Arabidopsis thaliana: one gene and its partners. The protein of the gene in region 2 interacts with the protein of the main gene of each other region in a pairwise test. Each region holds a gene or a part of one and is shown on either strand. Other genes may lie near its edges. The genes, in order: AT5G44520, CBL and AT4G07950.

Region 1 (4,638 bases), on a different chromosome or scaffold from region 2:
TGACCCTGTAACGTAGGCTATAATATAATCTTAAGAATTTTTCCAACATATAAGATGACGACAGAATTATATAATGAGTACAATCAATTTATACCTTGATTGTTGTTTGGAATGAACTGATTATAGAAAAAGAACTTGTAGAAGTTACGGCATTGCTCTATGAACTGACTTATAAATTGACTGGCAAAATGGATCACCGTTTTCGGTAATGTGTGAGACGAACTACTTTTGCAAAGTCTGTCCATAGGTTCGTACACCACCCTCCAATGCACTGGTCTGCAAGGTAACACTTCTTACAACAGTTTCTTCTGCAATCACCACCGTGCATCTGTAATGCCAAAAGTAGAAAACAGATTCTTACTACTGACCAATGACATACTAAACCTGACTGCTTAATTTGGAGAAACTAACCGAGTTTTGATAATTAGTCCATGGTCCACAACCCCATCAATCTTATCAAGGCTTGTAGCCAAGTCAGCTGCAGGATTTTGCATCCATCAACAATAGAGACCATTGCACAAGTTTCAATGGTTACAGTATAAGCTTTTACCGAGGCTTCGAATCGGAGTTGTAAATATAACATCAAGAATGTTGTGACCATCACTGGTAACTATAGGAAAGTCTCCTCCAAGAGGGCCTTCATTTTCAACAGAAGCTCTTCTCCACACCTTTTCCACCAAGTAAAATACAATGACTCAAACAAGGCTTGACACAATCGATAGAACCAAAAGCCCGAGAAAGCATTTATGAAAGAAGCAGATTCACACCTCTGCATCGCCTAGATACAAGTCATCTATCTCCTCAGCTATGGCCAACCAATTAAGCTGCAATCAAAGTTCAAGGAATAAAAGTTTTGAATCATATCACCAAGGGATTAAAACGAAGTTCATCAGTAGAAATTTACTTACAGATTGAACTAAAACAGGGATAGAACCTTCAAGACCGGCTTTGTATTGTTCTTCCTTTATCATGAAGACTGCCTCATCAGCTACTTTTACAATAGACTGTATTGTAAAATCTCTCTTTTGTCAGCCCAAAGCTAAGCAATGAGTATTCAAAGACTGCAAAAAGTACACGAAACTGCATACACCTTTTGTTTCAGAATATAGTCATCTTCCTGTGAACTTCTCCGCCGTCCAATAACTGCAATAAGCGTATTCTCTTCTACAGCATCAGCATCATGAAATGCAAAATCAATCTACAAAAGTGTCACACTGCAAACATTACCCCTAGATGCAGAAATAGATCAAACCGCTTTAGAAAACACAGAGAAGCAGCTACCTGAACACCATCCCGGTAATATTCCAAGGGGATTCCATACTTTGCTGCTTCACTCGCACTTCGAGCAGACCTGAAAAAGGGTCAGGACAAATCATCATGAAGCCTATCAAAACTCAACTCGTAACATAAAAGATTGAATATAGAGAGATCAACAACTGAACAAACAAAAAGATTGATACTTTATTTGGAGTCATAGAAGATAACCAGCAGCAGAATCAGAATCAAAAGACTCACATTGGTACACCAACAACAAAATCATTATCGAAGAACTAATGAATAGGGAAATTCAACAACTGAACAAACAAAAGATTGATTTTTTATTGGATTCATAGTAGATAAACATCAGAGAGAGAAGCAAAAGACTTACATTGGTACACCAACAACATTATGTAAAGAACCAGAACCAAGTTGTTGACCCAAATAACGTATAGCAAAATCTGAAGCTTCTCCAGATCCTAAACCAATAATCATCCCACTCTTTACATAATTATCCACCTGAAAACATTACCAGACAAAAGTTTTGTAATCAAGTATCAATCTTTCTTCAATTTTATGAATTTTCAACACAATTTCAAACAATACCCATTTGAAATTGAGTTTCAAGGATTCAATTTTCCCGATTTAACCCTTACAGTGTGATGAGCTGCTCTGAGAAGAGGAGAAACCTCCGGAGAAAGACTGGCGCAAACTGGAAAACGTTTGAAATTACGACGGCGCGTGAAAACCACGGACGACGAGAGTGAAAATGGAGTTGATGCTGTCGCAGTAACCATTTTTTTTGTGTGGGAAGAACGATTTGAGTCACTGAGTCGTGACTCGGTGGTTTTTACCGCTCTTATCTCCCGATCAGTTTTGTGGTGCATGTGGAGTACGAACTACGACGATATTACACGACCATTTTCTTTTTGGAGAATTACGAAAATAGGCTAAATTATATATATTTTGTTCCAAAAAAAATGATAAAATATATATTAAATATTTATTTTCATATAATTTTATAATTTTAAAGCAACACATAAATTACTAAGTTCCAAATATTATTTTTGAATTTTTAAACCTAAATTTTAAATTCTAACTATATCCTTAAATTTTATTTTATGGTCTTTGAGCTAATCCGTTTTTTTTTAATCTAATGTTAAATTATATTAGAAAAAAAACATCGGTTTTTACAACAAGTACGACAAAATTTGAATTTGAGAAAAAACTGAAATTTGAAAAATTAAATAAATTTTTAACTTCTAGAGGCAAACCACATTTAGAGTCCTCTATGATATCTCCTATCTCCTAAAGTCTGATAAAGGAAAGAGTGTTTCAGGTTTGCTTATCAATCCAACGAATTAGTCGAGCTGTCTGTCGTATTAGAATTCTCCCCATGTCTTCTACCATTTTGTTCTCGCCAAATGGTGTAGACTGACACTACATATCACATTTGTGACGTATTAAAACTATATATCACATTTATGATTACGATAAACAGTACCTATCAATTTTACGATACAGTTCTCTGCAACATTAAAATCCACAATGGACGGTTATGCATATACGATATATTTTGATGAAAATGTTTTTCTCAAACGGTTCTACAAATACGACATTCTCTAGATGAACATGTTCTCCATGAAAACGAATAACTCTACGTGCCACATTCTACAACCTTTCATTAAGTATACATCCACTAATTGGCAAGAATCTACACTTTTTGGGAATCAAAACCCTATCTTGTATCATTTTGGATATCTTATTAGTATTGACGATCCAACGAGGAAAAAAATAAATAATTGAAAGAAAACAAAAAGGAGAGTCATTTAAGTTTGATCGCACTTATGAGTGTTCCTTGCTTCCTTTCTCCTCTACTTTAAGCACATGTGGGAACCAAATTCTTCGTAACCACTCAATTTGGCTCACAATTTTTCAATATCCAATAAAAAACAGTTTCATATATTTTCTCGTGAGATTATTCAGTTCTTCCTAATATCTATCTATCTCTATATTACATATATACAATATTATATAAATACGCACTCTTCTTTCACCGACCTCCTTACACCAAAAAGGTGTCAATTCCACTTGTTCACCATGAATATGATTTAATGGGTTCTTCTTCTTTTGCAGCTTTCTTTCTTTTCCTTAAATTATCATTGTTTTAGGTGGGGTTTTAAGTGCTTTCATGACTCATTCATTCTCTGTATAAAACCTAGTGGAAAGTGTTAAATCAAAAACCCTTTTTTCCCACTTTCTTAATTTAGAAGGGAGACGAAAAAAATGGTTAGAGTAATGTTGGTGAGGTTTGGGTTTTTATTACTTATGATCTCTTTTGTGTTTTTGTCTAATAACACTTTGGGACAACAACAAGACGATGATGATGATTCTGCTGTGTACATTGTCACACTTAAACAACCTCCTATTGTCCATCTCTTTGAAGAACAAGAGCTTAAACACAAAAAGTCAAAGTTTACACCAAAATTGCGACCAAGGTACTGATAAAATTCTATTCTTTTTGTTGTCATTAGATTCTCTGTGAAGCTTTAGTTAAACCCTTTTTGTATTCTGCGTTTTTATTATAGGAACAATTCAAGGAAACGTCATGGGAAGTCAAAGATACCATCTGTTGTTCAATCTCATGACTCTTTCTTGAGAAAGACTCTAAAAGGAGAGAAGTATATAAAGCTTTATAGTTACCATTATCTTATCAATGGATTTGCTCTGTTTATTAACTCACAACAGGTAAAAATCTTGAGTTATTGATAATTGTAGAAATAATCTTGAGTTCTTGATCTTGATTTTTTTGTGTTATGGTTTTTCTTTTTTTAAGGCTGAGAAGCTTTCAATGAGAAAAGAAGTAGCAAACATAGTGTTGGATTACTCTGTTAGGACAGCAACAACTTATACTCCACAGTTTATGGGTTTACCACAAGGAGCATGGGTCAAAGAAGGTGGATTTGAGATTGCTGGAGAAGGAGTTATAATCGGTTTTATCGATACTGGGATCGATCCGAATCATCCTAGTTTCAATGACAATGACTCTAAGCGTTCATATCCAATCCCTAAGCATTTCTCAGGTGTTTGTGAAGTTACACCGGATTTTCCATCAGGATCTTGCAATAAGAAGCTTATTGGAGCACGGCATTTCGCGCAATCCGCTGTAACCAGAGGAATCTTTAACTCATCTGAAGATTACGCTTCTCCTTTCGATGGAGATGGACATGGAACGTAAGTGTAACTGTTGAATGTATCATATAAAAACAGAGTTTGAAGCTTATAGATTGTTGCTTTGGATATATATGCAGACACACAGCTTCGGTTGCAGCGGGTAACCACGGAGTTCCAGTGATAGTTTCTAACCATAACTTTGGATAC
Region 2 (4,638 bases):
AACTTAATCTATTTTCTTCTTATTTTTCGTAGATCAGTTTATGCTTTTTAGTACCTGAGAGAAGTGGAGATGGTGACCAGGATGATCTGGTAGACCAGCATAGTACACTTTCTTTACTCTTGGATGAGAAGACAAGTACATTGCAATTTTCCGTGCGTTTTCCTGAAGATTTTTGCCATCTATTGTAAGTAATGAAACCAACCAATAAAAGAAAAGAAAAGAGAACAACATTTCAAGGTAATTAGGGGGTTCAAGTCAAGACCTGTTGCTTTTCTATCCGTAAAGCCATTGTCTTGATTCCTCGAAGGCAAAGCCAACAGTCGAAAGGAGCTAATCCAGAACCTTCTGAGTTTTGGAGGAAATACACCTCCTTTGCCAATCTGGAAAGTTTAACACTATTATAAGAAAAGCAGATATTTCAAAGAAATGTCTCAGATAGAAAAGAGTAGAGGCAACATACTTTTCGCCTTTTACAGCAAGCACACCTGCCATCACGTCACTGTGTCCGGCTATAAACTTAGTAGCCGAGTGCATCACGATGTCTAAAAAGCCAGACAAGTTGAAATATGAGTATTAAGAAGCAAATTTGAGAACAGAAAAACGAAAATTTTAGCCAATAGAAAGCAAGTCTGAGTTGTTTTACACACCAGCTCCAAGTTCTAATGGCCGAGAGAGCACTGGTGACATAATACTGTTGTCCACCAACACAAGAGCACCTTGAGCATGAGCCATCTCAGATATTTTCTACAAAGACAGAAAACCATCAAACCAATTAAACATTACAGCAGAATAAGTCGATTTCGGCCATGTGGTATCTGGCTCCAAACTTTGTAGAAACAGAGTATTTACTCGTATATCAGAAATTTGTTGTCTTGGGTTTGTTGGAGACTCAAGCCACACAAGCTTTGTTTGGGGACCAATTGCAGCAGCAACCTCGTCTAACTTAGTTGTGTTTACTCGTCTACAAGATTTTTAATGGTATCATTAAGTTATCTTAGTTGTAAGAATAACTAGTTATATAATTCAGAATCAAAGGTAGCAATACTAACTTTACCACAACGCCAGATCTTGGAACAACTTGGGATAGTAATCTGTCAGAGCCACCATATACATCATCTCCAGCAACAATTTCTTCGCCTATAGAAACAAAATCAAATGTACTACAATGAAACCAAGTCTATGCTACCGATCTAATACACTGAAAGACATTACAATCCAGGAGAAGTCAGTATCGGAAATTACCATTTTTGATAAGATGTGTAACAGCACTAAGAGCAGCCATTCCGCTAGTAAAGCAAAATGCTCTATCTGCCTTGTCAAGCTTCGCAAGGAGGCTAACAAACGAATACAACTTCTATAAGTAATGTTGAACAAACACACATACAAATATAGCTAAATAACCTAGGAATCGAGAAGATGCTAAGAAACAATTACCTTTCCAATGCATCCCGTGTAGGATTGCCACTTCTTGTATAATCATAAGGTCCATTTTCAATAGCAGAAGGCTACAATAAGCAAAGAAACTAGTATCAAGTGACAAAATCTTCTCGTAGTAAACGAAGTTGTTCGCTTTATGGCTGAATACCTGCTTAAAAGTAGCAGTTTGGTAAAGCGGAGTGCTCATTGCATCAAAGGGATCAAATTTATTATCCAAGTTCACCAATAATGTAGAGACGCTAGCTTCTTCTTTGATATTCATAGCTGCAAAAACATTGAAACACCATCAATCAATAAAAAAGACGCTAACTTTATGATTATCATCAATATGATCCAATAAAAAGAAGTTATTTAAGCTTAACGAACTATTTAAGCTATCAGTGGTATTGTTAACGGTAGAATGAGTTTGACCATCGACACTTTTCTCCATCACGCAATTCAGCTTGAAAGAGTTCCGATTTGAGATCTGCTTCTTCTCCCAAGTTGGAACCTTGGAAATGGAAACACTGGTCGGAGAGTTCTTACTGATCAAACCCTTCAGAGAAACACCCAGAGACGAAAATGATTAGATATCACTTAAATTGGTAGAGCCAGACCAAAAGCAAAAGAAAAGGGATTAACTTTATCTGAGGTCGATAAATTATATTAAAATAAAAAGCTTACTCGGTCGGAGAGATCAGCGAAGGAAGGTACGAAGGAGGAGTGAAGTGACAGAGAAGATGTCATTTTGGTAGATGAAAGAGAACTAAATTGCTTTTTCTCCGGCGTCGATTTCTCGTCTGAGATATTAGCCGACGAGATAATAACGGCGACGGAGACAGTTCTCGTGCTCAAGTGAGAGTAGAGACGACTGAAGAGAAACCGAAGGTCTCTCGGCTTTAAGTCTCGGTTTTGGTTTCTTTCGGTTTATTTAGATACGATAAGACAAAACCGAAATAAATCTGGTCTGGTTATAACACGTGGAGGAAAGTAGGTGTACACCTACTCTTAGTCTTAACTCTTAAGTACCCATGAGGCCACTAATATATTCGTCAGTGAAACTGACAAGAAAAAGGAAATTTGATACAAAACTAATTCAGATCTTATATATTTTGGCTACAAATTGTCATAACTAAACCGGCTAGGACATTAGACATAAATATTGTCGATTCTTCAATATCTAAGCATAATAGGGAGAAACAAAAGCGGTGACCAAAACAGACGTAAATTATAAGATAGCTCTCGAGATGTTGAGCAACTTGAACAGACATTCGCTCTCTCTCTGCATCTACACAATGGTTCTTTAACTTCTACTTCCTGACCTCAGGTTTCTCCTGATGCTGCTCGATGACTCTGTACTCTTGCTTTCTGATTCGCCTTCTTCCCCTGAAAACCTCACAACTTTACTTAACGGTATATAACAATTTCTAAAATGTAGCTTAAGTTGTGTGAGATTTTTGAAATACATATTGAAGTTTTCACATACCGCCACTAGTCTTTTGGTTTAAGGAACGAGGATTGGTCGTACCACATTGTGCAGAATCTGGCTCTTCCTCCGAGTCAGATGGCTCTTCCTCTGAGTCAGATTGCTCTTCCTCGGACTCAGTTTCAATCAAATTATCGCCACTAGTCTTTCGGTTTAAGGAACGAGGATTGGTCGTACCACATTGTGCAGAATCTGGCTCCGAGTCAGATTGCTCTTCCTCGGGCTCAGTTTCAATCAAATTATCGCCACTAGTCTTTTGGTTTAAATAACGAGGAATGGCCGTACCACATTGTGCAGAATCTGGCTCTTCCTCCGAGTCAGATGGCTCTTCCTCTGACTCAGTTTCAACTAAATTATCGCCTGATTCTTCCATTGATGGATCCACAATTTCACTATCTGAAACACCTGAGAATACAAAAAACAGTCCATTTTGAAAAGCTTGCCGTTAACTGGCATTTGACTATCGTAAGTCTGGTACAGTGAACTTTGCTTTAGCCAAGAGTCAAAAAATTACTAACCTTCACCTTCATCATATTCTTCTACAGGTTCTTCTTTCACTTTGCTGAGGACAGCAAGGGATTCCATGGTCTTGGTTTTCTCTCTATGAACCTCGGCATTTCTTGCGGTTTCTTCTTGTTCTTTCTTCTCCATGTGGAACTTGTTGATCTTCTCTTCAAACTCTTCGATACACGCTTTCAGTTCTGGCTTCGCAAACTTCTTTCCCTGTTCAGATTCACAACCAGATGTCAAACTAACATATAGCATTAAAAATGACTAGGGTGACGAAAACCAGAGAAACCAGACCTTATTGATTATGCTTCTAAAGTTCTCGGTCACCAAATCCTCTGCTAAAGCGTGCTCGTAAGACTTGAATGACTCAATAAGCTTTTTGATTCCCTTTTCTGTGAATGTCAGCAGCGAAAGAGAATACGAAATGTATTCCCACTGTTTTCCATCTGCAAGTTTAGGTGTAGATGTCAAAGGGATATACTTCTTATTAAACCCAAAACAGGTGTAAGGATATATCATCAATACAAGCATACCTGTGACTCCGCTAAACCTATTGCAAAGCTTCTCAACTAGAGCCTCCATCTGTTTGTCCTGGAGATTGATGAGGATGCAGATGAGTGATTAGATAAGAATAAATACAGGTCATACTAACTTCAATATTGAAAAGCTGTATACCTTTTTGATGGAGCCGATCAAGAATTGCATGACATTACAGAATGACTCCCTCTCTAAATTCCGGTTGGATAACTGCCCAAGTATATCAGGAAGTAGATTGTATATGGGATTCGATCCTGGATTTGTTTGGCAGAAAATAAACTTAAGTGTTAAATTTGATTCAAAGGTGGAAGTTGCTATGTCATGTAAAGCAGCTATTGCAACTGACCTTTCTTAGACAGTTCATGGAAAAATAGTTTTGCGAGACTAGAGATCCTCTCCACATCATCTTCTATACATATAGCCATTTCATATATATAACCTTTCACCTGAAATCAGGATTCACAAAATGAAACCTCCAACTATAATTGCAGATATTTAAAGAGAGCAAGGAGAGAGGTAAGGAGTCCAACCTTCATCATATCATTCAATATAAGATGTGAGAGGACCAGGACAGCATTTTTCCTGACAGAAACTGAAGCATCCCGTAACCTGGCATACATATTTTCTGTCCAAGGTTCTAAAAGATTTGGAAAACGAACAGCCAAGTCTCCAAGGGAAAGGGTGCAATT
Region 3 (4,638 bases), on a different chromosome or scaffold from region 2:
TTCTAAACGGTTGCGTTTTTACCGCAACTTTTCATTAAAATATTTAAAATTTGTTTTACGGTCGTGTTTTTTTTGTCAAATATTTTTAAAATATTTATGGTTATGTTTTCGGACAGTTATACTTGTGTAACTATAGCCGTATCTATTTGATTCTGAATGGTTGTATCTTTTTATCGTAACTTTTTATTAATATTATTTGCGGTTGTATCTTTTTATCGTTATTTTTGTTAATTGCATATTTTGGTAAAACTTATGTAATAATTCGAATATTTGAATTATTATTATAATAATTTAATACATAAATATTAGGCTTGGGCGTTTGATTATGCTGTTCTAGCCTCTTAGGATCCATAAGGGAACCAAAAAAGTTTCGGTTCGGTTCAGATACTTAGAAAGAGAGCCGACAAATTACCAAATTCTAATAGATATCGGTTCGGTTTTGATCATTTTACTCAAAATACCAAAAAAAGAAACGAAAAATATCCGAAACTTTTTTACCAAAATAATAATGGTCCAAAATATTAAAAAATTAACAAAACTTTTTTGGGTGATAGGTTTTTTAAAAATGTATTGGCTTAGATGTAGTTTTGTATAGAGTTGACCAAATATTTTTTGGTTCGATTTGGGTATCCATAGATATCCGTTTCGGTTTGCGTATACCGTATATCCAATATCCAATATCCAATGGATAGTTTGACTGAGATTCAACAGGAGTATTTAGTGGTATCTTGATACGAACCGGAACCCTTTTTCAGCTTGGTTTGGTTTGGTTCTTTGGTTCCGGTTTTTATGCCTTGATCGTTCTAACTTCTATCGTTAAGTGAAGTAGTGGTTACTTTTCAAGAAATTTTACAAAGCCGAAATACTAAAAAATTTGGGGTCGATTGGTAACGACTGTTATATTTGGCTATACAGACTTTGACTATAGAAATTTTGGTTGTAGAGAATTTGGCTGTAAAGACTTTGACTTTAAAAACTTTGGCTGTTAAAGTATGATTGGAACTAAAAACTGTAGAAACTGTTACTATTATTTTTACAATATATATTTAGAATTGTGAATTATTTGAAAATGAGTTTTGTGATAATATACTAACAAAATTAATTTATTATAAGTTTTAGAAAAATACAAAATAAAATAAATAGATAAATATACTCAAATCTCAGTAAATAAAAAATATATTTAATCCATATAAAGATCTGATTAGGTGTTTTGGATCAATGAACTATCACTGTGATGCAATTGATGCAAAAAAATAATGAAAACTGGATCTCTAAAAAGTGAAAATAGAAAGATGATTATTAATTAATCAAAATATTTTTGAGTTAAATTACTTATTGATAGAGAAATTGTTTTTCATTTGTCATGGAGAAAACGAAAAGAAAAAAAAAAGAAAAACAGATTTTATTTTATTATTTGTTTTATAGCCCAAAAAGTCTCACATTGTGACTTTAAAAAACTGAACCTGAATTGAATAAAATAAAGCAGTTAATTTATTTTCCATCATCCGGGAGTGTGAGAGAGTTCTCTCTCTTATCTCTCTAATATCTTTTAGAGAGAGAGCCACATCCAAGTTTCTTTTGATGTTCCACAAAATCCATTAACGTCGTCCAGTTTCTTAACGCTGGCTTTGAGTCTGACATCCACCGGCTTCTCATGCAGTAGTTGGTCAGCTTCTTTCACGGCATCATCTGGCTTTGTTAGCAGAGATGTCCGATCCGCCGTCCGTCAATGCTTTTCACAGCGTTTGTCAGCTTGCTTCTGGCATCCGTCGGCTTCTTAAGCGACGGTTGGCTGGCTTTGGGGTTTTGTTTTTATTTTCGTTTTCTCTCGATTCATTTTGCTTTAGTTTGTTTGGATTTAGTTTGCGTTTTAATCCTTTGATTTGACTGCATAATTCTCTGATCCTTCTTTGTTTAAAGAGCTTAATTCGATTTTCAAGCTAATTTTCTCAATTTTAAAAATCGGATTTGAAGTTGCGGATTGGAGTTGTCGTTGGATTGATTTTAACGTAATTGAGGCTAATTTCTTCTTACCAAAGCATGTGAATCGTTTTATCTTTCCTGTTTTTTAGGTTTAATAATGGAAGCCTTGTCAGCTTATCTTTTAAGTCGATGATCCCGGAATTCATGAACTGCGTTTATCCATGGAAGATTTCAATTTTGCAGATCTAACGGCGAAGTTTGTTTGGGATTCTCTGAATTTGGTGGTGATGTTCATCGGATATTGTTGAGCCTTGATGTATTGATGCTCGTTACGACTTTTTCCGGTGACTAAGAATTCCTTTCGGTTGCAAACTATGTCGGCTGACCGACGATGACCTAAAACTCCGACGTCTCACGTGTTATCATCATTGTCTCCTTTCGTGACACGTGTATCTGTGCTGGACATGATCGACTCTTCCTTCAACCAGTGGTTTCATGAATTGTTGGGCTTATGTTTGTAATGGGCTTCTTTTTGCCGTCTCTGATACCGGGTTTGAATAACCGGTTTGAGCGTTTGTCTCTTTGTACTTGAAGTATTGTAAGATGTTATGCTTTTAATAAAAAAAACTTTTATGTGAAAAAAAAAAAAGAATAAAATAAACCAGTTACCTCAGATTCCTTGGATACTTCAAAAATGTCGGTTTGCCTATGAATCATAGACTTTAAAAGCTTTTAAATTAAATAAAGTCCTTAAAGTGGGATTAGTAAATTTTTGGCTTTTAATTTTTGTTCCAATCAACCCCTAAGACACTCAAGAAAAGAAGAAGAAGCATAAAAAGAGGCCTAAATGCCCAGAGAATTAAACAAATGGGCCTTAATATATAAACAAACATCAATCTCTCGCCGTCAAAGGTTACATCTATCGCCGTCAAAGGTTCCATCTATCGCCGCCGCTGAGACCGCCACTTTAGGCCGTCTCGTCCGCAATCTCCGTAACCAACACCACCCGCATCGCCTGGTAAGCTCGATTTTTTAATCATTTCGATCTCATATGATGTCGATCTGTTCAATCTTGCGAATTCGATCTTTATTTTGTTCTGAGATTTAGGGTTTCACGAATTTGTGTTCTAGGTTTTCTGGCTTAATCATTTTTATTGTTAACTGTTCTGATTGGTTCTTATGCTTTTGGTTACACAAAGATCTCGACTTTTTGTTGACTCTGTATGCAAATTTGTCAAAAGTCAAAACGTTGTTACAGAAACTCTCTTTCGTGCTTGTGTTTATGTATGAACAATAGCTTCGCTATTGGGTTTGTTGATTTCACCACACTTGATTAAATATGTATATTCTATTGAAAATGTGGTCAATCTTGGCAATAAAAATTGAATTGTTGGTTTAGAATGTGGTCGTCACTCGTGAGTATAGATTGGATTAGTGGATCGAATTATTAAGTCAGTGGATTGAATTGTGGTATTATTAAATTGCTAGATTTTGGAGTTGGTTTCATTATTAAACCAAAGTCTAATGAATGTAAAGTTGAATTTATGGAAAAGTATTGGTTATTTCCGGTTAAGAATGGATTACTTGAATTATAAGTTACTTCATGACCTGCCTTGCTATTAAAGTAAAAACTGGTTGTTACACGAACACAGTAGAACAATGTATTAAAAACAGCCCTTCCCTCTCTCTGTCTCTATATATCTGTCTATATCATAGTTTTATGAATTGATTTTTGTGGGGGATGATTTTGCAGCGAATTGATCGGTGAGGTGGAAGATGGAGTTTTGTCCCACATGTGGGAATCTGTTGCGCTACGAGGGAGGTGGGAGTTCGAGATTCTTCTGTTCCACATGTCCATACGTTGCCAATATCGAAAGACGGGTTGAGATAAAGAAGAAGCAACTTCTGGTTAAGAAATCTATAGAACCTGTTGTTACTAAAGATGATATACCCACAGCTGCTGAAACAGAAGGTATTTTCAGTCTCTGGTCTTCTCTTATTCTAAATTTAGAACTGTGATTAGTTAGTTAGTCCATGCTCTGTTGATTGGTCGACTAAATTCGTAAATACTTTAAAGTTGATTGGTGGAAATCAGTTACATAATTACTCATGTTATGGAAAGGGCAAAAACAATAATGCTAAAGTGGTATTACATCATTCATGGTATGCAAGTGCAAAAACACTTGGGGAAAGAGTAGAGTAGACTTTTTGTTCAATGACTTTCTCATGTTGGGATTGTTTTGTTTTAACAGCTCCATGTCCAAGGTGTGGCCACGACAAGGCGTACTTCAAATCAATGCAGATTCGTTCAGCAGATGAGCCAGAATCAAGATTTTATAGATGCTTGAAGTGCGAGTTCACTTGGCGTGAGGAATGAACCGATGATCATCACCTTCTCTGTACCCGCTAATTTTGCAATCTTCTTTGAGTTTGTTTTACCATTACAAAGTTTGTAGTTCCTCTATGTACTCTGGTTCTTTCTGTCTCAGAGCTCAAGAGTTTCTGTATTTAAAACAATCGATAAAATTTTGGAATATTGTGCAAAGTTTTAATTTTTGAGGTGAAGAATGTAAGCAAATTGATCTGTTTTGAGATTTTTAGTATCAAGACTGCGATGTATTTGTTATTGCATTGGTATTTGACTTCTTCCTCTTCCTCTGTTAACGTAACCTCCAGATTTCAATTTCTCACATTTCTTCGTCTTCTTAGCAAGAA

What was found.
Region 1: the proteins of CBL (region 2) and AT5G44520 interact in a two-hybrid assay, tested with the Arabidopsis thaliana proteins (one large-scale study listed by BioGRID).
Region 3: the proteins of CBL (region 2) and AT4G07950 interact in a two-hybrid assay, tested with the Arabidopsis thaliana proteins (one large-scale study listed by BioGRID).

What each region holds. Positions count from the first base shown.
Region 1 is NC_003076.8:17,934,388-17,939,025, forward strand, and holds the start of AT5G44520 (NagB/RpiA/CoA transferase-like superfamily protein), read right to left. Parts: upstream 2,168-4,638; 5' UTR 2,145-2,167; coding exon 1,914-2,144; intron 1,777-1,913; coding exon 1,649-1,776; intron 1,352-1,648; coding exon 1,282-1,351; intron 1,199-1,281; coding exon 1,091-1,198; intron 1,005-1,090; coding exon 909-1,004; intron 825-908; coding exon 768-824; intron 669-767; coding exon 551-668; intron 479-550; coding exon 412-478; intron 329-411; coding exon 223-328; 3' UTR 1-222. Other genes in the region: AT5G44530 (Subtilase family protein), read left to right, coding at 3,544-3,755, 3,846-4,005, 4,094-4,491, 4,569-4,638.
Region 2 is NC_003074.8:21,112,359-21,116,996, forward strand, and holds the start of CBL (cystathionine beta-lyase), read right to left. Parts: upstream 2,380-4,638; 5' UTR 2,164-2,379; coding exon 2,101-2,163; intron 2,039-2,100; exon of another isoform or gene 1,973-2,038; coding exon 1,804-1,972; intron 1,755-1,803; exon of another isoform or gene 1,702-1,754; coding exon 1,586-1,701; intron 1,506-1,585; coding exon 1,435-1,505; intron 1,335-1,434; coding exon 1,243-1,334; intron 1,138-1,242; coding exon 1,050-1,137; intron 962-1,049; coding exon 850-961; intron 745-849; coding exon 648-744; intron 543-647; coding exon 461-542; intron 381-460; coding exon 263-380; intron 163-262; coding exon 55-162; coding exon of another isoform or gene 34-54; exon of another isoform or gene 1-33. Other genes in the region: AT3G57060 (binding protein), read right to left, coding at 2,720-2,817, 2,903-3,307, 3,421-3,625, 3,707-3,858, 3,946-4,003, 4,088-4,203, 4,296-4,395, 4,480-4,638. UniProt on the Arabidopsis thaliana protein: Catalyzes the penultimate step in the de novo biosynthesis of methionine. Its role in methionine metabolism may affect plant development in different organs, probably by modifying plant auxin transport.
Region 3 is NC_003075.7:4,795,211-4,799,848, forward strand, and holds AT4G07950 (DNA-directed RNA polymerase, subunit M, archaeal), read left to right. Parts: upstream 1-2,630; 5' UTR 2,631-2,941; intron 2,942-3,676; 5' UTR 3,677-3,699; coding exon 3,700-3,895; intron 3,896-4,175; coding exon 4,176-4,300; 3' UTR 4,301-4,585; downstream 4,586-4,638.